Linked DNA regions of Drosophila melanogaster. Changing the gene in region 4 together with the main gene of any one other region gives a genetic interaction. Each region holds a gene or a part of one and is shown on either strand. Other genes may lie near its edges. The genes, in order: lz, Gug, Hsp83 and DnaJ-1.

Region 1 (4,719 bases), on a different chromosome or scaffold from region 4:
AATTGCGCGTTCTCTTCCACTTCTCCAGCTTAACGGGATTTCAGACAGCGATTAACTTTAACGCGCACTTCGCGATCGCGGAAAAACTCGGAAAAACAAGAGATTCACTGCGTTGCGAAATTGTTTGTGTTTAAAACGGGTGGCTGCACTCACATAGGGGAAAAACGGCTGTGGAAATTTTAGTACGTTTTTTATCAACACCATGGACTAGTTGGGCTTCCGAACATGGTGTGTGCCCTCACTGTTCAGTGGTGGCGCAAACCATAGATGACCATAAAAATGAAATTCAAATGTACTGTGTATAAAATAATAGTTATGCATACAGTCTCGTTTTATTATACGGAATTAGCAATTAAGTAAATTTTAAATTTTAAGCTACACAGGCAGTACAGCATACTAATACAATATTAAAGGAAAAAACGCTTTTGAGGTAGTTTTGAAAGTATTTGAGAGCAATTGAAATGCTTAATTTTAATCACTTGATAGCACTTCTGAAATTAAATAGCATAGACATTTGATTTTCTCGCAATTTCTGCCCTCGCAGATAAGCTGACGTTCTTCTCACGCTATTATATTCCCAGCGATAAGAACTATTTCCCTTCGATGTGATAAGTCGGAGGTAAATTTAAAATAAACACTTTTTAAAATCATAAGAACTCTGCGTTGTTATTTTAATTCGATATCAGTATTTCGACCACAAACCAAGGCTGAACCACAAAATATGGCCCAATGATAGTCTCTTATCACGCCTTTCCTTCGCTAAAAAGAACACATGTCATTTGGAATCCTTGTTTTCTTTGCGCTAGCAACAACACACAGTTTTTAATTAACACTTTTTGCGATAATAGCAGATTTGATAAGCATGTTAAGTATCAGTTTTAAAGTAGATTCTCTGATTTTCATCTCTAATATCCAAAATGTATCTATATGAATACAATTTTCCATAAGTGCGTTTTAAATACATGTATGTTAAATTTTAAATAAAATAATAAAAAAAAAAACACAACTTATTTATTTTCTCATGAAAATCTAATCATATCCAGCTCCTAAATATTTTCGAAATTTCCCGGCTGAACAAGAGCGCCGCTCTTAAGTCGTCACGCTCTCAGCTGATTAAAGAGAGCGCGCTTAAATGCGATTCCAATTGGAAGTGGTTGCAGCCGGTGGTGGATGAAAATGTGTCCACCAATGGCGCGCCTCAAATGCCATGTCCACCTGACCAATCAGAATCCGGGGGCGGTGCCAAGTGCAAGGGAAACGCAGGAGCGAGCGAGAGGGAGAGCAACTGTTTATTTGATTAAGCATTTAAATTCTATTATTTTTAGCGAAATTTATTAAAAATTTGATGCAACAGCACTGCGTGGAATGGTGACTTGTCACAATGCACATACTAGGCCATGCATTTACAGAAGAGCAAGAGAGAGAGAGAGAGAGAGAGAGCGAGCAACTTAAGAGACCCAAAACGCCCCGGCCAAAGAGAGTCGTTCTCGTTCCAATTGGCTCGCGAGGCAAGTGGAAAAACGATTGGATTCGACTCAGAGCCGAGCTCAATCGTCTCGCGAAATTCAAGCGGCGCAGTCAAAAGTTAAAAGTCAGTTTCAGTTATGTTTTGGAGTACGACGCGCGAGCATTATTGTTTCCATTGTTAGCGAAGTTTTTAATCGACTGAAAGAAACACAAGAAAATAACACCTCGCTTACGTGTTAACCCTTTTTTTTTGTAACTTGTGCTTAAGTCACTTAAAGAAATACCGAAGAAAGTAAACTAAGTGTGTGTGTAAGTGTTAAACAAAGTAGTAAACAAAAAGCGCGCCAAAATCGGCTAACTTTTAGTTATTAACTCGAATTTCGTCACCAACTAAATTTAAACAAAAGAGCGACACAGTTTCGCCAGAAACTTGCATTCAAACATATTGTTAAACAGTTTTACATTAAACTAAACACAAACCAAAGTGCTATTAAGTGCAGTTAGTAACAAAATAAAAGTGATAAATGGTGACACAAACGAATTAAGGCAATGTTTTTATGACAAAAACTTAAGTTCATATTTTTTAAGGCTTTATTTTGCGACTGTGAAATAATTTGTTTACTTTGTTGCTTGTTCTCAAACAAATAATATACAATAGTAATTGTAAAAGCTTCTTATACATTGTTTGAATAAACAAATAACTGACTCTTTTACAACCATTTATGATTACTTGGGAGATCAGTTGTGAACATTAAATGTTTATATTGTACTATATTGTTTTTACACCGATTCCCAGAAATATCATCAAAGTTAAACTCGAGAAAAGGAGGCCCGTCTGCGAATCGGGAGTCAAACATAGAGTATTACTAATTAGCCGAGTGAAGTGCAAACAATAAAAATATCCAAATCAAACGAAATCAAATTTAATTAAGTTCAGAAATCATCTGGCAAAAGCATGCTCAAAAAAGAGAAAGAAAAAACAACAATAGCAACAAATGCACCGCTAATTCCTGTGACTAATTTATCAAAGTGCGAACTAGCAAAATGTCGATCGTCGTAGTACTCGCAGTTATTTAATATGTATTCAGAAAGGCAAACATATTTTTAATCATTTTTTAAATTTATATATATTGTTTTTTGCAATTATTTCTTTATTTAAACGTACGCCAGTGAACTGTTTCTATATGTACTTTAATTAAATTGCTTAATATGAAACAAATTTGAGATGTTGTCATGGATTGTTTTTAATGAATCGATCGGCATTTTAAGTTTTCAATTAAACACGAATCTTTCTCATATCGTAAGTGCAATTGCAAACAATTGTTAAGTACGCTTTTTTTTTTCTGTGAATTCGTTTAGAGATTAGAGTTTATTGATGAGTGAACAAAAGACACCGCCGGAGCGAAGTGTGATAAGCGCTTGACCTGCGACCCGCACACACTGCAAGAAAAAAAGGGGCAAGCGAGCGGATCAAAGGTCACCGCCGTCGACGAATGCATTTGCATCTCCTGGCGGCAGAGAAGACGCCTCCATCTCCATCTCCAAATCCAACTCCAACTCCATCAGCATCTCCATCTGGGCATACGGGCGCTGCTGGGGAGTCGCAATTGGACTTGGCATCGCAAACGGAATCGCAATTGCAGCTGGGCTTGCCATTGGCTTCCGGATACGGACTCGGACTCGGATTGGGACTGGGCTTGGGATTGGGACTGGGCCAGGAATTGGTGGCGGACCACAGCACCACTGTGGCGCCCGTCAGCGTTGCCGGTCCCGGCCGCCTGGGTCGCAGCATCAACGGCAGCGGCGGCAGCCACCACCATCACCACCTGCACCACCACTACTCACCGTACCACCACGCCCACCCCTACCACCCACCGCATCCGCACGCGCCCCACCACCACCACCACCACCACCCACCGTATCCGTATCCGCCGGCAGGACCACATCCGCCGGCCATGGTCACATCGTCATCCACATCGCCGACGGGCAACGGCTGGAGCAGCTCCACCGGCGACTTCAAGGGCATCACAGCGGTGGCGACGGCCACTGGCGGCGGCGTAGGTGGTGCCACCCAGGGCGCCACTGCATCCACGGGCGCCACAGCCGCTGAGGTTTTGGCCGTTTCGAGTAGTGCCAGTGTTGGCAGCAGCTCGCCCACAGGTGGCGCCAGCAATGGTACAGCCCATAGTGGGCATAGTGGACACACCGGCGGTCACAGCAGTAGTACCGCCAGCAACAACAACAACAACGGTGCCAGCAATAGCAATAGCAACAATAACAACGCCGTTCACCAGGATCTATTGTGGATGGAGCGATTGGTACAGAAGCGACAACAGGAACATCCCGGCGAATTGGGTGAGTTGTTGGTGGGATATTACCAATAACCTAGTAGTAACACAGTCTGCAAAAGGGTTAAGGATTAATAGCTACCTTAATGTCCTTCAAAATCAAAGTGAATATGAAGATATAGTCTAACTGGATTTGTAATTTCCCGTGAACAAAATTGATTGAACAGAGGGATTTAGCTTACTAACTGTAAATAGCAAATTCTTTGCTACCAGATTCCCAATATGATCTATGGTTCTTGATATAATATATCTTATGAATATAAGATTGATAGATAGATATATATATCAAGGCAAGCCTCTGCGGAGACAGCTCTTCCATTCACAAGGTATCAGCATCTTTAGCTCGTGTCGAGGGGATCTGGTGGATGCTTTGCAGGTCTGTTCGATAATCCGATCCCCGAAAGGTGGAGCGCACATTCTTGCCACATCCTTGCACAATGCACTTCTGGGGCTTCCACATCGTGGCAATCACGATCATCGGACGCAGCCTTATCGGATTCCATGGGTATGATGATCGTGATGATGATACCGATGGCGATGATGATGGTGATGCCAGTGAAGATGGGACTGGCATCGCCGTCGGAATATGCGTAAATTGATATCAATAATTGTTATTGATATCAACGCACGAGTCGTTCCCCTTTTTTATTTTGTTAATGCCACCTTTTTTTTTTTTTTCTTATTCCTTGCTGCCCGTTGAACTTTCCTCCCGATTTATCAATGATATCAATGACCCAGAGCGAAAGCTGCTAATGAAATCTCAGCTCATCGCACCGTCAGTCTTGAAATTAGCTGGGGAATCCGCAAACTGGTTATCCTATATGATTTTTTTTTTCACTTCTGAGTCCTTTCATAACTTGTGCTCAATGGATAGCCTTCATATCGAATTGCAACTATCAGGACT
Region 2 (4,872 bases), 2.7 Mb from region 4:
TTGGCTAAAAGCAAGTTAAACCATGGCACTTCATTGGAAGAGATAAAGAGATCCGTAAATCCCCCATGAACAATGCGTAAAATTGCGTATCATATGACCTGGTAATCCCTCATTAGCTCTGATTTAATCCTGCACCATATTGCTTGTATAACAAGTGACCTACAATAGCTACAATACAAATTAATCTATTTAACTAGATGTGGCCATAAAACGATGACACTATAAATACAAAATGGCAGCTAATCAATATTATCTTTATTTAAATTGATAAACATATAGAGGACAACCAAAACTAGTTTTGATAGATTCATATAGTTATTAACAAGTGGAATATTTTCCAACAATGCGCTAAAGAGTTTCTAAACTGTCTGATCCCGGTCAACCCTTTTTTTTTTCATTCCGAACAAGGGTGTACTAATTGGCCTACAAGGCAACTCATTAGCAGTATACAAGTGCGGCGATAAAGATCTGTTTCAGTGGGTTTAGGGTATGTGTAAGCCTTATCATCGATCTAATCGCAATTCCCCCTAAATACCACCAGCCCACAAAATGAACACCACAAATCCGAATATGAGCGACAATAGCAAAGCAACGGATTAGGGGCACGCGCCCCCCGGTTTTCTAATTGCTTTGGGATACCATTGGAAAATAGTTTCCTCCATTAGCCGAGTGGAAACCCTTCGGCACAATGAACAAGCAACCCCATCGAGGGGATGTGACACATGAGACGGGGGCCAGCGTGAAGTATCGAATTAAGCAAACAAATAATTATAATTAAATGTGTGCGCCGGGCTCGAACAGATGTCTTGGCTCACCATGAATCCGTAGTCGGGGTTGTGTATCGTCGAGGCGTCCCGCACGAAGATGCTCCTCTCTCCAGCAGCAGGCGGCAAAGTAACTCCGGTCTACGGTCTCCGTCTCCAGATTCCAGACTCCAAGTTGCTGAGGATGATGATGATGATGACGACGATGGTGATGTGGTGCTGTGTCGATGGATTTTCAAAGGGGGTGGGCGGCGGTCGTGGTGGTTCTTGTTGCTTTGCTCCTGTTGTTCTTGATATTGTTGTTCCTGCTGTTGTTATTGGTGTTGTTGTTTTTGTAGTTGTTGCTCAGCGAGGAGGCAGCGAGTAGCCGGAAATGTATATTTCGGTTAATTTGCACAAACACAGCTGGAAGGCGAAGAGATGACGTAGGTGAGAGCCGAGACGATGGAGATGATTAAGCGAAAGAAAAAGAAAATGAAAGAACCAAACAGAAGAATTGAGCAGCTGGGGCGCAAGGAGCGCCCTGCGAAAAAACAATGCCCCACTAGCGATACTACTACCAAAAGCAGTCGCCAAATGAGGCCATAGAACTTGGCAATTTTATACGTTAGCTATTTGCATAGCATAGTTGAAATCCTATGTACCTGGTTTTGAGTTGAGAACTTTTAATTACATAATAATGTGACCCATATTCTTTGATCCTTTCCTTATTAAATTTTATAAACAATGTAAACCAGGCAGACCTATGTTCAAAACATCTGTAATAATAATAATCAATCTATCTATCTATTTGGACTGTATAATATTGAATAACAATAGCTATCAGAAAATCTTTAGTACCAAGATGACATATCTAAGTAAGTCGTAGTAGTCCATATCAATAGTACTATTAGTACGGGGAATAACGCCAGTTATAGCGATATTTTTTATAATCTATTGCCAATAAATACAATTCCAAACACTTCTCTAGCATTAATAGTGGGTAAGTACATATTTTAGCTTATTTATCAGCCAGCAAAAAGGCAACAAGACACATTTTTCCGACAACGTCAGCAACAGCAATTGACTGAGTGGAAGAAGAAGAAGAAGAAGCACGGCCAGCAGGAGCGGTCACAGGAACAGGGAAGGGCGGTGTGGGGGGGGGGGGGCTTTACAGGAATGGGGTTAGTCCGAGGCAGGAGCATCCTTGGGGGGTGGTGGGTGCGCTGGCCGCAAGAGCGTCGCGTTGCGTCGCGTCGGTGGTGACGCCGACGATAACAACAACAACAACAACAATAACAAAGGGGCAACAACGGTGGTGGGTTGCTGCTGTTGTTGCTTGGCCTGTTTTTGTTGTTTTAGTTGCTGCCCGTGCTGCTGACGCTTGGATTTTTGCTTTGTTGTTGCTGCTGCTGCGCTTGCGATTCCTTTTCAGCAAATTTGTTGAGCCTTCGTTCGTGTTTGCATTGTTCTACCCCAAAAAGTTCATAATAGACTGGATTCAAACACCCACCCATCCGTCGGTCACCCTTTCAAAAACTGCGGGGGGGGGGGGGGGGATACGCCACTGTTTTCTCTGTTTTACTGTTTTTCGTTATTTTTTTGTTTTTTGTTTTTTGCTGCCCGAAAGACTTCACATAAATTTGAATGATTTGCACGCTGCGCAACTGCGATTCCAAATTAAATTAGTGACACACTTAGTAATAATTAATTTTCGCACACTTGTTGTAGATTTTTCCTTACGTTTCGCTGCTTGCTTGTTGTTGCTTTTTTTTTTATTGCTGCCGCTGCTGCCAAGTGTTGTTGGATTTTGTTGTTGTTGCTGTTGCTGCTTTCTGGTGTTTTTGTTGTTGGGCGCGCGTGAAACTCGTCGTACGCTTTTTTTTAATGCTCTTCTTCGTTTCTCTTCTTCTTTTTTTGCATACACTTTGCGCACACACACACTGACAGAGAGGCACACTCGCACACACAGGCACAGACAGAGAGCAGCGCACACAGACGTACACTCGAACACACACACACACAGGCACGCACTTTGGTTGCTTGCTTGCGTTTTTTTTATTGCCTGCCTTCGCTTTCAGTTATTTTCACTGGGTTCTTGTGCGATTTTCGGTTGCTTTTTCGCGGAATTTTCAGCCACACGGCGCAGCCAGCGTGGTTGCGAATGTTTTCGCCAGCAAATTACAATAATTGGCTGGCCAAGATGCGTGCTTTTTGTTAAAAATCGCCACTACGAATTTCTCCGCGAAGAAGCCACCATTTTGTAAAAATATATACTTTGCGGGGTCTGGCAAGGCTGGCGGTGGCAGAGTGGCAGCATTGCTGGTGGTCATGTGCTAAATAAGCCAGCAATTGTTGTGTAGCCAACAGCTTTCGTTGGTGAGCACTCGTAAGTTTGTCTTTTGAAATGGTAATTTATTTGTTTAAACAAGACTTAAAAACTTCTAAAGCATATGTTAAAAAAATAAATGATATATATTTAAACATTAATATATGGCTAACAGCTGTGTTTCAGATTTTCTATGAAATTTAATACGATGAAAGTTGGAGTTTAATTGGTTAACAGTCGATCTATATTAACAGTTTGTCGCAGCATATTGTGGGCTTACTTTAAAAATAAATTGCTTAATTTTCGTCCTAATAGGCGAAAAATTCGATTCCACAAACTTATATTTAATTTTTAAAAATCCAACTGATTGTAAAATATCCCTATTGTAAATTAACATTTCTGTTAGAACAGTGAACAAAAGCGCCATTTCGGCAGAAGCGACTATCGACTCTGCGCCTAACATCGATAGCCACAAGAAATCTACCGACGCACCACCACTATTGTTTATTTTGTTTTTCGTCGTTTTTGGATTCTGATTTAAATCACCTCGCTGCGAAAATCGGGAAATTCTAAAGAAGCGCGTCGTCTGTTTAAATTCTGAGGGTTCGCAAAATCGCTGGCATTTAACACTACCACCAAAAAAAAACCAAAACAAATCAAGAGCTGCGAATCTACGGATCCTCAAAATGTGCGACGAGTCCATTGAAAATGTGGAGCATCAAGGTAAAAATTAGTAACTCCGATTCCCGATGTTATTTGCCCAACTCATTTGTTTGGCCATTAAGTAGCGCCCAATATTTGCATAGAAACCAGCTCAAGTGCGTTAAAATATCATTAGGAAAAGGCGGCGGTGGGGGGTGTAGATTCTTTGGTTGATGGTAAAAAAAGGGTAAGTGGGGGTAATTGCGCGTGGATTTTGGCGATTAATTCGGTTTAATTGGAACAGAAAGAATGAAAAGAGTGAGCTAAATTTAGGCAAGTCAGGCCACTCGAGGGAATCGCTTGTTGTTTGCTGACCTTTTCTGCAAATCAGGACAGCTGCACTTCTTAGCGCAGAAACCAACATGCAGCTGGGAATGCACTGAAAAAAAGTGGGGGAAATAAGTCTGATTATATATGTGATACATTAAAAGTGTAACTTTGAGTGAGTAAGCGTAAGAGTAAGTGTATGTGTGCACGAGTGTTTTGGCCATTTCCTTCCCGTTCACTTCACACATTCGATTTCCGCCAATTGTTGTTCTTTGACCTCTTCTTCCTGCTTTTCTGTCGCAATATTAAAAATAATATTTGTTCATGGCCATAGCTAAGCCAATTTCGACCACCTACCGCCCACTTTTGTTGGCCACCGCAATCGATGGTTTTCCATTTTCCATTTTTACCATTTCGCCGACTTTGTCGCCATTCGCGTGACTTCAATGGGTTTCGCTTATCGCTTTTCAAACGGCGCTCGACCCGAGTTTTTATCAGCCTGTTGCAGCCTGCTTAAATTGTCTTAGATTAATTTTAATTTATGATCTCCTGACAGAAGTTAATGAATTGTGGCCAGCAAGCAGCGTATGGAAAACGAAAATAGTTTTCATTTCGCGCTTCACACACTTTCTTCATCAATTAGCGGCTATCAGAATTTTTTTTTTTTTTGTTTTTGAGCGGCAGTTTCAAGTGGCAGTTATATTCGATCCATTTTGGTGAATAATAAAATTATTGCGAAAGCAAACACGAAATGCTTAAACGTGATTAACAGATCTTTAGAATTATTATACTATTGTTTTTTTATTATTATTATTTTTTGCTTACCTAATG
Region 3 (6,469 bases), 2.6 Mb from region 4:
TAAACACTAGTTGCTATTAAAATGCATTTAAAAACACAAAATATTTAAAATAATTGCCAAGAAGCTAATGCGCCGCTTGTTTACATCGGTCAACGCCCAAATAATGTCGAAGAGCAAGGGGAAATCAAAGGCCGGCGTTGAAAGTGCGAAAAACGATGCAAAAGCGATGCCGGCTAAGGAAGCCAGTCCGATTTCAGTCGATAAGAGCGGCAATATATGCATACAAATCCTTGCCAAGCCGGGGGCTAAGCAGAACGGAATCACAGGAATTGGCTTTGAAGGAGTGGGCGTCCAAATCGCCGCTCCGCCCAGCGAGGGAGAAGCTAACGCCGAACTGGTCAAGTTTCTGTCGAAAGTTCTAGGTCTTCGAAAGAGCGACGTTTCTTTGGACAAGGGATCTCGATCGCGAAACAAGATAATAATGATAACCAAGGGAGTGTCCACGGTGGAGGCCATTGAGCAGCTGCTGCGCAAAGAATCCGATTCATAGATTGTTTATTCCCCCCAATAAATACTCGCTCAGAAGTTAGATTTTTAAAACACATTTGCTTGTTGTTTATTTGGTTTTATGTTTATCATCGATCGGGTCATCAAACCTTAATTATATATATACTCGATTCTTTATATAGCTCTACCAACTAGGGCGCGTATGTAGTCTTTAGTTTTTTACATAAATTACTTGGATTCTAAATTATAAGTTCTTAAAACGACAACTGCTCTTGAATGTTCTGTGAGAACCTAACCATTTAACGAGTTATTCCTGCTTTTTTATGAGTTAAGCGTATGTCTGTCGCTTATAACGCGGCAAAATGTTAATGAATACAAAATTTAACTCGGCCGTAGTAAACTCAGTATAAAAGTTCGAAACGCAAGTAAATTGTGTATGTGAATGCGAGTGATAGAATGAATTTTGGTTGTTTGTTTCGACTGGTCGCTTAATCGACCTCCTCCATGTGGGAAGCGTCCTCTGTGTCCTCAACCAGCGAGGGGGCATCTCCGGCGCTCTGGGCATCGTCGGTAGTCATAGGCTCGTCCTCGTCGATTCCCAAGCCCAGCTTGATCATGCGGTAGATGCGGCTGGCGTGCACCTGGGGGCTGTCCAGCGAGAATCCAGAGGACAGCAGAGAGGTCTCGAACAGCAGGATGACCAGATCCTTGACGGCCTTATCGTTCTTGTCGGCATCGGCCTTCTGGCGGAGAGTCTCCACAATTGGGTGATCGGGGTTGATCTCCAGCTGCTTCTTGCCGGCCATGTAGCCCATTGTGGCGGTATCACGCAGAGCCTGGGCCTTCATGATGCGCTCCATGTTAGCGGACCAGCCGAACTGCGAAGTGACAATGCAGCAGGGCGAATCCACCAGGCGGTTGGACACCACCACCTTCTCGACCTTGTTGTCCAGGATGGACTTCATCAGCTTGCACAGGCTCTCGAACTTGGCCTTGTCCTCCTCGCGCTTCTTCTTCTCGCTCTCATCCTCAGGCAGCTCCAGACCCTCCTTGGTGACAGAGACCAGCTGCTTGCCCTTGTACTCCTTCAAGTGCTGGATGACATACTCATCGATGGGCTCGGTCATGTAGACCACCTCGAAGCCACGGGCCTTGACGCGCTCCACGAAGGCAGAGTTGCTGACCTGGTCCTTGGACTCGCCAGTGATGAAGTACACGTGCTTCTGGTTATCCTTCATGCGCGACACGTAGTCGGCCAGGGAGCAGAAATCGTCGCCGGAGGCAGAGGTGTGGAAGCGAAGGAAGTCGGCCAACTTGGCACGGTTGTTGCTGTCCTCGTGCACACCCAGCTTCAGGTTCTTGCTGAACTGGTCATAGAACTTCTTGTAGTTCTCCTTGTCCTCGGTGAGCTCCTCAATCAGCTCCATGGTCTTCTTGACCAGGTTCTTGCGGATCACCTTTAGGACCTTGTTCTGCTGCAGCATCTCACGTGAGATGTTGAGGGGCAGATCCTCGGAGTCGACCACACCCTTCATGAAGTTCAAGTACTCTGGAATGAGGTCCTCGCAGTTGTCCATGATGAAGACACGACGCACGTACAGCTTGATGTTGTTGCGCTTCTTCTGGTTCTCGAAGAGATCGAAGGGCGTGCGACGGGGAATGAAGAGCAGAGCACGGAACTCCAGCTGACCCTCCACGGAGAAGTGCTTGACGGCCAGATGATCCTCCCAGTCGTTGGTCAGGGATTTGTAGAACTCGCCGTACTCCTCCTGGGAGATATCATCGGGATTGCGGGTCCAGATGGGCTTGGTCTTGTTCAGCTCCTCATCCTCAGTGTACTTCTCCTTGATGGTCTTCTTCTTCTTGGCATCCTTGTCCTTCTTGTCGGCATCCTCATCCTCGCCAACATCCTCGATTTTGGGCTCATCAGTCTCCATCTCCTTCTTCTCATCACCTTCCTTCTTCTCATCATCAGCCTCATCGTCGCTGACCTCCTTCTCGCGCTCCTTCTCTACGAGCAGCTTGATGGGGTAGCCAATGAACTGGGAGTGCTTGTTAACAATCTCCTTGATCTTGCTCTCCTCCAGATAGTCGGTCTGGTCCTCCTTGATGTACAGCACGATCTTGGTGCCACGGCCCAGGGGCTCAGAGTTGTCGGCACGGACTGTGAAAGAGCCTCCGGCAGAGGACTCCCACACGTACTGCTCGTCATCGTTGTTCTTGGAGGTGACAGTCACCTTGTCGGCGACCAGGTAGGCGGAGTAGAAACCCACACCGAACTGACCGATCATGGAAATGTCGGCACCAGCCTGCAGAGCCTCCATGAAGGCCTTGGTTCCGGACTTGGCAATGGTTCCCAAGTTGTTGACCAGGTCGGACTTGGTCATACCGATACCGGTATCAATGATGGTCAGAGTACCAGCCGTCTTGTTAGGGATCAGCTTGATGTACAGCTCCTTGCCAGAGTCCAGCTTGCTGGGGTCAGTAAGGGACTCATAGCGGATCTTGTCCAGGGCATCGGAAGCGTTCGAGATCAACTCGCGCAGGAAAATCTCCTTGTTCGAGTAGAATGTGTTGATGATCAGGGACATCAGCTGAGCAATCTCAGCCTGGAATGCAAAGGTCTCTGCTTCTTCTGGCATCTGCAATGGATTTACAAAATCATTAGGATTAGTTATAGTCTGTGGGTTCAACACTAAGGAAAAGCAGCTGCATTTTCAGCAGCTGCTCCGGTTTTATTCTTTTTCTTTCTTTCTCTTTTGCACATGCCTCATTTAACATGCGCATATACAAGTACAGTGGTGGTCAAAATTATAGCATTCACTTTGCAACCCGTAAAATGGAATTTTAATTTCAATTAGCCAACAGAATTGATTTTAAGTTGCAAAATAATGTTTTAAATTTAAATATTTAAATATAATTATGCAAATTGGGTCGGTTGATAATTTTTCTACCCCTGCTGTGTGCAAACTCGTGTCTGTGTGAGTGAGCATTGCATTGAAAATTCGTACTTCACCAAGGAAGTTTGTGGAAGCATCTAGAAGCCAAAGGAAAACTAATTCGCCTAGCAAGTTGCTAGTAGCAACCAACCAATTAAAATAGAGCAAATAGGATTAAAAAACCGATTTAACAGAATTTGCTTACTGACGCCACATTTTTACTTGAAAGTATTAGTCATGGGCGTGCATGTGTGCGTATGCGGCATGTGCAATTTAAAATGGGAATGCAAAGAAAGCACGTGTAATTGTAAATGAAGGACAGTAATTTATAATTAAAAAGCCTATTTGGCACGCTGTTTAATTCATGCTAAAGCATAGAAACCTCTAGAACATTCTCGAGCGGCAAATGTGATTTGCGCATTGTCACCCCCTAAAAAGAGCGGCATAATTCGATTTAGCGCTAAAAGACCATTGCATTAAACAAAAATTAATCTTGTATTCTATAAACCACATGTAATTGTAAATAAAGGACAGTAATATATAATTAAAAGGCCTATTTGGCACGATGTTTAATTCATGCTAAAGCATAGAAACCTCTGGAAGATGCGTCCAAGCGACAAAAAATAAAAGAAACCGGCATTTTGAGTTAATTTGCACGTTGCCACCTCTTAATTAATCAAAAAAAATTCTTAAACTTGGCTCCTAGAAATTTAAAATCAATATCTCACATTTGGGTCAAGAACATTCGAGATGCACAGGACCACGCAAAATGCACATTTTGGCCATAGCCACTGATAAACTATTCACTCTTTTCTTGTAATTTGCATTACTCACCTTGTATGTATGTTTTTCGTTCTATTCACAGAATAAAGGTAAAAATACAGATATTTTCACTTTGCTTTGTATAGAATTGGAAATTCACAAAACTTTTCAGACGCTGCTTGTTGTTACGACGCACACCGTACGAAATTTTTTTCAAGACTCGAACCGGCAAACGCCGCGCGTCTGCTTTTATAGAAAAACCCGACCCGAACTGGAAGTCTCTAGAAACTTCTAGAGGCTTCTGGATGCCAGGGATGCAACTTCCTGTGAATACTAGGGTAGATCAGTGTTGTGATACGGTCGAAAAGTGCGCAACCTGTGCGGGCGAATTCAAAAATTATACTGAACTAAGTTTGGTGGAAATTCGTCTAAGTGGTCCGAACGATTGAGCAAAGCCCACTGGGATTGCTTAAAACATTACAATTGGATATCAAAACGCCCACTAGGCTTATACTGTAATTAGGAAAATGGAAAATTTAATTGTTCCCAATATTATTTTACTTGTTTTAACAGTAAATAATAAACAAATCAGCTTATGACCTGTTAATTTTTATTTATATTTATGAATACTTTTCTCCACCAGACTATCGATATTTCCAGAGTTTCAGAGACTTGGTGGTGCAAGCTGGTTCCTCTGGAATAAACTAGTTCCATTTTAAGCGGACGGTAAAATTTGAAATCACTTGAGTGGGTTTGGGGAACAAAAATTGGAAAGTTTTTGTTGTAATTAGCTAAAAAGCAGACATTTCACATTCCGGAAAATAATTGCTTCTGTGCAAAACCTGCTACAAGCCCAGTCAAGTAAAAAATCTCTCATTAATTAAGAAGTGTCATATCGATCATTTGGTTTCGGTCAATTCTGTTATCGATGCCTCCCATCGATATCACCAGCTGACGCTAACACTTCCACCACTAATAACATAAAAGTTGTTTGCTTATATTTAAACAAATGGGCGGCACTAAGTGTTGTTTTCGTGATTGTCCGGTGGGTTCTAGCCGCAACCCCAATATGCACTTCTTCAAGTTCCCCGTTAAGGATCCGAAGAGGTTGAAAGATTGGGTCAGGAATTGTTCAAACCCTGACGTTTCAAATGCACCGCCGTCCAAACTGGCAGCCAAAACAGTTTGTGCCCGGCACTTTCGAGCGGAATGCTTCATGAACTACAAAATGGACAGACTCATCCCAATGCAGACGCCCACTTTGTTCAGGATCAACAGGGATCTGGCACTAGACTATGAAAATCTCGACCAGAACGGTGAAGCTCTTCTCGTGAAGTTGACGCCTCCAAAGCAGCAACACCTAATACCACCTAAAGATTTCGAGTGTCCTCTGGGATTCGTGGATGGTGAGACACAGAATTTGGATGTTGTTAAGAAACGAAATACAGTAGAGTTGACAGAAGAGGAGGAACCGCAAGGGAAAGACGAAGCCGACGAAGTGCTGGCTACGGAGCAGGAACAGCCGGTTGTACACACGGAGAAAACAACGGTGGCGCATAAGAGTTCTACAACATCAACAAGCGCTTCGGCTATGCCTCAAAACATTCTAGATATCATAAGTCAACTTCAGCCTTCATTGGGCATCAAATTGATTAAAAGACCAGTAAAGCGTCAATCAGGAAGCGAGAATGAGTTGTTTCAGCTTGAAGAGCAGCTCCCAAAAGAACAAACTGATGATACAAGCAAGATGCGAACAGTCACCAAGGAATCAGAAAAGCAAATTAAATCAAAAAGTTGTATTATTGACGTTATGAAAATGCCAAAGCTTGCCGATAAATGTCAAGAAAAGCAAGTGCCAACTAGAAAAGAGTACCGACCAATTAAAGGGACTGTGGTTAGAAAACGTGGGATGCAGGAGGCAGATGCTGATAGACTGAACGAAGATGAATCCACCAAGGAGCAGGCTAAGAAAAGGAAGCTACCCCAAGAAGCACAAAAGACTGACTCCCACGCTTCACCTGAGAACGGTACGATATTGAACCGATATACACAATTGCAAGAGAAATTCTGGGATGAGCAGAAGACTCCGATGTTGGAGAAACCCACCCAATCCATCCAAATTAATCTTAGTTCTAGCAAAGAAAATAGTCAGAGTGATTCCATTTCCGAAACCTTATCTGAATCTTTTCTAAACCTTGAAGAGAACATACCACTTAGTACTGACAGTGAGGACGAGTCTGAACCAGATGAAAAACCATCTTCATCGGAAGATGCCCATCGCGATAAGCTTCTTCAGGAGTACGATAAACTGCAGGCCGAGT
Region 4 (4,501 bases):
ATAACTTCGGGGTGCGATAAGAACATGAATACAGATACACGGATTGCAACAGTACCCAAGCCACTTGTTTTAAACAAATAACAGGATAATGGGGAGTAATGTAAGCTATTGACTGGGTTACAATCAGGGGTCTGATAACAATCAAACATTGTCCAGTTGCCTTTTGCGAATATCAATGACCACTCACGAGTTGCAACTGATAACGATTATCGCCGCACAATGCAGTGGGTGGGTATTTCACTGGGGGGAACTTTTGGGTCCCTAGAACCCAGACGGATTACTCAATGAATATAGGCGATATGTTTGGGTTTACAGCGAAAGTGCTATTAATGTCGACCGTATGCTCTCTTCGATGTGCCAGCTCTCTATTTGCGGGAATGAATGACTATTTTTATGGGTCTGCCGTCGCTGCTACAATGCTGCATTGCTGCAGTGGGACATCCTTTGAACAGGCGCCATGCCAAAGGATATTCTTTGTGGAAGGGGGGGGGGGGGCAAGGGTTAAGGGTCACATTCGTTTGCGCAATACTTCCAGCGATGGGGCGGTGAACGGTGGGCGGGGCGATCGGTCAAGGCTTCGACTGTGGAACGTGACACGCATATGTCGGCCGGAGTTTGGCCCAAAAAGTGGCCCCAATGGTTGTCCTTCGCGCTGGCAATTAGTCCCTAGCAAGGCGCGTCCATATTTTGCAAAAATTCGTGGGGCGCCTTGTTTTCTTCTCTCTGTATGTGTGCATGTGTGTGTACCTCCGTCTCACTCACCTCAAGTGTGTGTGTGTGTATGAAAATACTGCGGTATACGGCTGCGTTTGTGTGTGAGTGTGGGTTTCGGCTCTACTCTCCCGATGATCCTGCTCCTCCGGTCCTAATCCCGGCCTGCTCGGCTGCTCCTGCGTCCTGACTGCGCTAGAAATTCGCTTAAAACGAGCCTCGACGGGTCATTTTTACAATTGTTTTTTGTTGTTCCGTTCGGCTGTTTTACCAGACGTGCTCGTTCCGGTGTGACTGCCCGCCGCTGACTGTAAAATACTAAACGCATTGCAGCTGTGGCAATGCCCAAGTCTTGGTCTTACGGTCACACTGGCAAAGTTTAAAAATTTATTTATTTCAACTTTCAGTTACTTTTCGTTGGCTTGAATATTACACTAAGAATTCAATTTGACACTTGCAATTTATACATTGTATATTATAATATATTATATGTATTATATTTTATATCATATAAAGATATTTATATCTATTGATCTTTTGATTATAAGCTCTTTGGTTGAACAATATAAGTGCAACTTTCTCCATCACCTTCCTATCTTTTTACAATATGCTTACCTCGTCAATACGTTTTTTCTATTTCAAATATTTCAATATTTCAAAGAAATATTTTGTTTATTTTTCTGTGTGTTTTTAAGCAATCTGACCCCTGTAGAAGAATCCCTTATAATATTAACAAATGTATCCTCAAAATAGATCGATCTCTATCTTCGCAGACTTACACGAAACATTCCAGAACCGATAGTTTTATGCGATATATGAGATTTAAGGAGTACTTTCCGCATTTCGCCATCACAGTCACGCTTTCCTTGGCATTTGCAATCAAATAAGCGCTAATAATAATCGTAAAAGCATAAGAAGCATATAAAGAAGAGTCACCGCCAAAAGCATGCACAAATATATATAAATGGGGAGCGATTTAAAAACAGTGCACTGTGTTTAAAACATCGACAGCTATCGGTTAGCATATCGATATTGACATTCGCAGTCAAACGTTTTCGAGATACAACCCTAAAATCCGAGAAGCATCCAGAAATTTCGACGTAGACGAGGGCGAACCTATAAAATGAGGTTGACGCACGAATCCCGCTCATTATTAAACAAAATTTTGAAGAGAAAGAAACTCTGAAGTAGGGTGTGTTTTTAGTGCGCAAGCCACATTTGGTGGATAAAGAAAAAAGCGAAGAAGAACAATTGAATTGAATCAATTGCGAGAAAGAGACAAAACTCATAAATATTTAAAGAACATTGCCCCGTGAAAATATAAATAGTGTGAATACACAGTGAACAATACCAACAATTGCACTTTGCCATTGCATTTTGCACTTTTCCACTTGGATTTTTGAACTTTTACGGATTCCCAGACAATCGCTTACATTTAAGGTAAGCTTCGTTGGACATATTGCCACATGTGGGCGCATCGATTTGATCTGCTGAAAGAAGCACATCGGGAGCGGAGCTCTCGTTGATGGTGACTACATACGTCACTCGCGTGACAACACGGCAGTTGCACAACTGTGCTGTTCTGTGCTTCTAGCACTTTCCATCGCCCCAACCCAGCAAGCTGGCAATCAGTATTCATTCTAATCTATAGCGTTCGTTCGTTTGTGTTTCCCCTATATTTTCAGCTGAGAGATGGGCAAAGACTTCTACAAGATTCTGGGCCTCGAGCGCAAGGCCAGCGACGATGAGATCAAGAAGGCCTACCGCAAACTGGCACTCAAATACCATCCCGACAAGAACAAGAGCCCACAGGCGGAGGAGCGCTTCAAGGAGATCGCCGAGGCGTACGAGGTGCTGTCGGACAAAAAGAAGCGCGACATCTTCGACAATTACGGTGAGGATGGATTGAAGGGCGGACAGCCGGGACCAGATGGCGGCGGTCAGCCGGGAGCGTACACTTACCAGTTCCACGGCGATCCGAGGGCCACATTTGCCCAGTTCTTTGGATCGTCGGATCCGTTTGGCGCGTTCTTTACCGGCGGCGATAACATGTTTAGTGGCGGTCAGGGCGGCAATACCAACGAGATCTTCTGGAACATTGGCGGCGACGATATGTTTGCCTTTAATGCCCAGGCACCCAGTCGCAAGCGCCAGCAGGATCCGCCCATCGAGCATGATCTGTTCGTGTCGCTGGAGGAAGTGGACAAGGGATGCATCAAGAAGATGAAAATCTCACGCATGGCCACCGGAAGCAATGGGCCGTACAAGGAGGAGAAGGTGCTGAGGATCACAGTGAAGCCGGGCTGGAAGGCCGGTACCAAGATTACCTTCCCCCAAGAGGGTGATTCGGCGCCAAACAAGACGCCAGCTGACATCGTCTTCATCATTCGCGACAAACCGCATTCGCTGTTCAAACGCGAGGGAATCGATCTAAAGTATACAGCCCAGATCAGTCTGAAGCAGGCCTTGTGCGGAGCACTGGTTAGTGTGCCCACGCTGCAGGGCAGCAGGATACAGGTGAATCCGAACCACGAGATCATCAAGCCCACCACAACGCGCCGGATCAACGGACTGGGTCTGCCGGTGCCCAAGGAGCCATCGAGGCGCGGCGATCTGATCGTCTCCTTCGACATTAAGTTTCCCGACACACTGGCACCCAGTCTGCAGAATCAGCTGTCCGAGCTGCTGCCCAACTAGGCTAGAGCTGTGCCAGCCACACACACACACACACACACGCATATAATTGTTATCACTTTAGTTAAGGCCTATATTTAATTTACCGTACGTACTCGTAAGACAACTTAGCCTAACCAATTGTAGCCCTAAGCTAGTGAGTGTGCCAAGCGAAGAGCTGTAGATATTGGCCGAGGATGCAAGCGCTGGATAGGATTAGGAAAGAGAACAACACACACACACACACACACATAAAGCAGCCCGTGTAGCCCGTTTCGTGTTGGAGACTGATCGATTATTAGCTATTTAGCATTACACAAATTCCATAAGTTGTTTTGTTTACCGCCACATGAATCGGTGCCTCAACATCTTATACATAATAATCCCAAAACAAAATATTAAATAAATGAGGTATTATAAATTTAAAGTAACTAACCATTTTTCAAGCAAAGCACATTTTCGGCATTCCAACACGGGGAGGTTACATCAGTTAGTAGAACACTTATAGATTTATACGCCGTAAGGACATAGTACGTTTTAGTACCAATTCTATTATGTTATAAACAATAAAATTACTTATACACACATCAAGTGTCGTTTCTGGGTCAGTGGGTTGCAAGCATTATAGAAATTGCTAGATTTCACGTGGTGGCAATCAAAATGTGGTGGCTAAAACCAAAACAACATGTATTGCTGGCAATTTCTTCTATTTTTAAATATATATAACTAGCGCGCCAAACAATTCAAAAGTCTCCACATGTGGAAACTTCCAGAGGGCAACACGCCACCTGGCGTGTATAGATCGTGTGTTACATTTCAAAAACCATCTGGCATCACTGGCAACGTTTGTTTAAAACGTCGAGTGGAAAAGATGAAATTTAAAATAAAATCGTTGTTTAAAATCCTTTTTCCAAAACCTGAAATCCCCGAAAGCCAAAAAGAGAATCAATAAAAAGAAATTCCATGTTAATTTTATTTTAAATTTCACATTTTATTTTCATTTGTTTTCTCTTCAAAAGGATTTCGTAATTTAATCATTTGTCACACATTTTCACTATCCTTATGTTGAGTGTTAAGTTGCATTTGCAATTGTATAATCATTGTGTATTTCTTTTTA

What was found.
Region 1: of DnaJ-1 (region 4) and lz, changing one suppresses a phenotype caused by changing the other (phenotypic suppression), as found in Drosophila melanogaster (one study listed by BioGRID).
Region 2: of DnaJ-1 (region 4) and Gug, changing one suppresses a phenotype caused by changing the other (phenotypic suppression), as found in Drosophila melanogaster (one study listed by BioGRID).
Region 3: of DnaJ-1 (region 4) and Hsp83, changing one suppresses a phenotype caused by changing the other (phenotypic suppression), as found in Drosophila melanogaster (one study listed by BioGRID).

What each region holds. Positions count from the first base shown.
Region 1 is NC_004354.4:9,282,961-9,287,679, forward strand, and holds the start of lz (lozenge), read left to right. Parts: upstream 1-1,688; 5' UTR 1,689-1,776; intron 1,777-2,826; 5' UTR 2,827-2,960; coding exon 2,961-3,822; intron 3,823-4,719. UniProt on the Drosophila melanogaster protein: Involved in prepatterning photoreceptor precursors in the developing eye; in the larval eye disk it defines a subset of cells as an equipotential group that is competent to respond to the sevenless developmental signal and another subset that confer proper photoreceptor identity by positively regulating the homeo box gene Bar.
Region 2 is NT_037436.4:8,448,072-8,452,943, reverse strand, and holds the start of Gug (grunge), read right to left. Parts: upstream 3,023-4,872; 5' UTR 2,487-3,022; intron 2,297-2,486; exon of another isoform or gene 2,257-2,296; intron 1,170-2,256; 5' UTR 816-1,169; intron 1-815. Other genes in the region: CG6983 (uncharacterized protein), read left to right, coding at 3,759-3,795.
Region 3 is NT_037436.4:3,191,119-3,197,587, reverse strand, and holds Hsp83 (heat shock protein 83), read right to left. Parts: upstream 4,620-6,469; 5' UTR 4,221-4,619; intron 3,090-4,220; coding exon 936-3,089; 3' UTR 529-935; downstream 1-528. Other genes in the region: CG14966 (uncharacterized protein), read left to right, coding at 68-490; CG14965 (uncharacterized protein), read left to right, coding at 5,158-6,469. UniProt on the Drosophila melanogaster protein: Molecular chaperone that promotes the maturation, structural maintenance and proper regulation of specific target proteins involved for instance in cell cycle control and signal transduction. Undergoes a functional cycle that is linked to its ATPase activity.
Region 4 is NT_037436.4:5,749,496-5,753,996, reverse strand, and holds DnaJ-1 (DnaJ-like-1), read left to right. Parts: upstream 1-1,807; 5' UTR 1,808-2,403; coding exon 2,404-3,408; 3' UTR 3,409-3,968; downstream 3,969-4,501.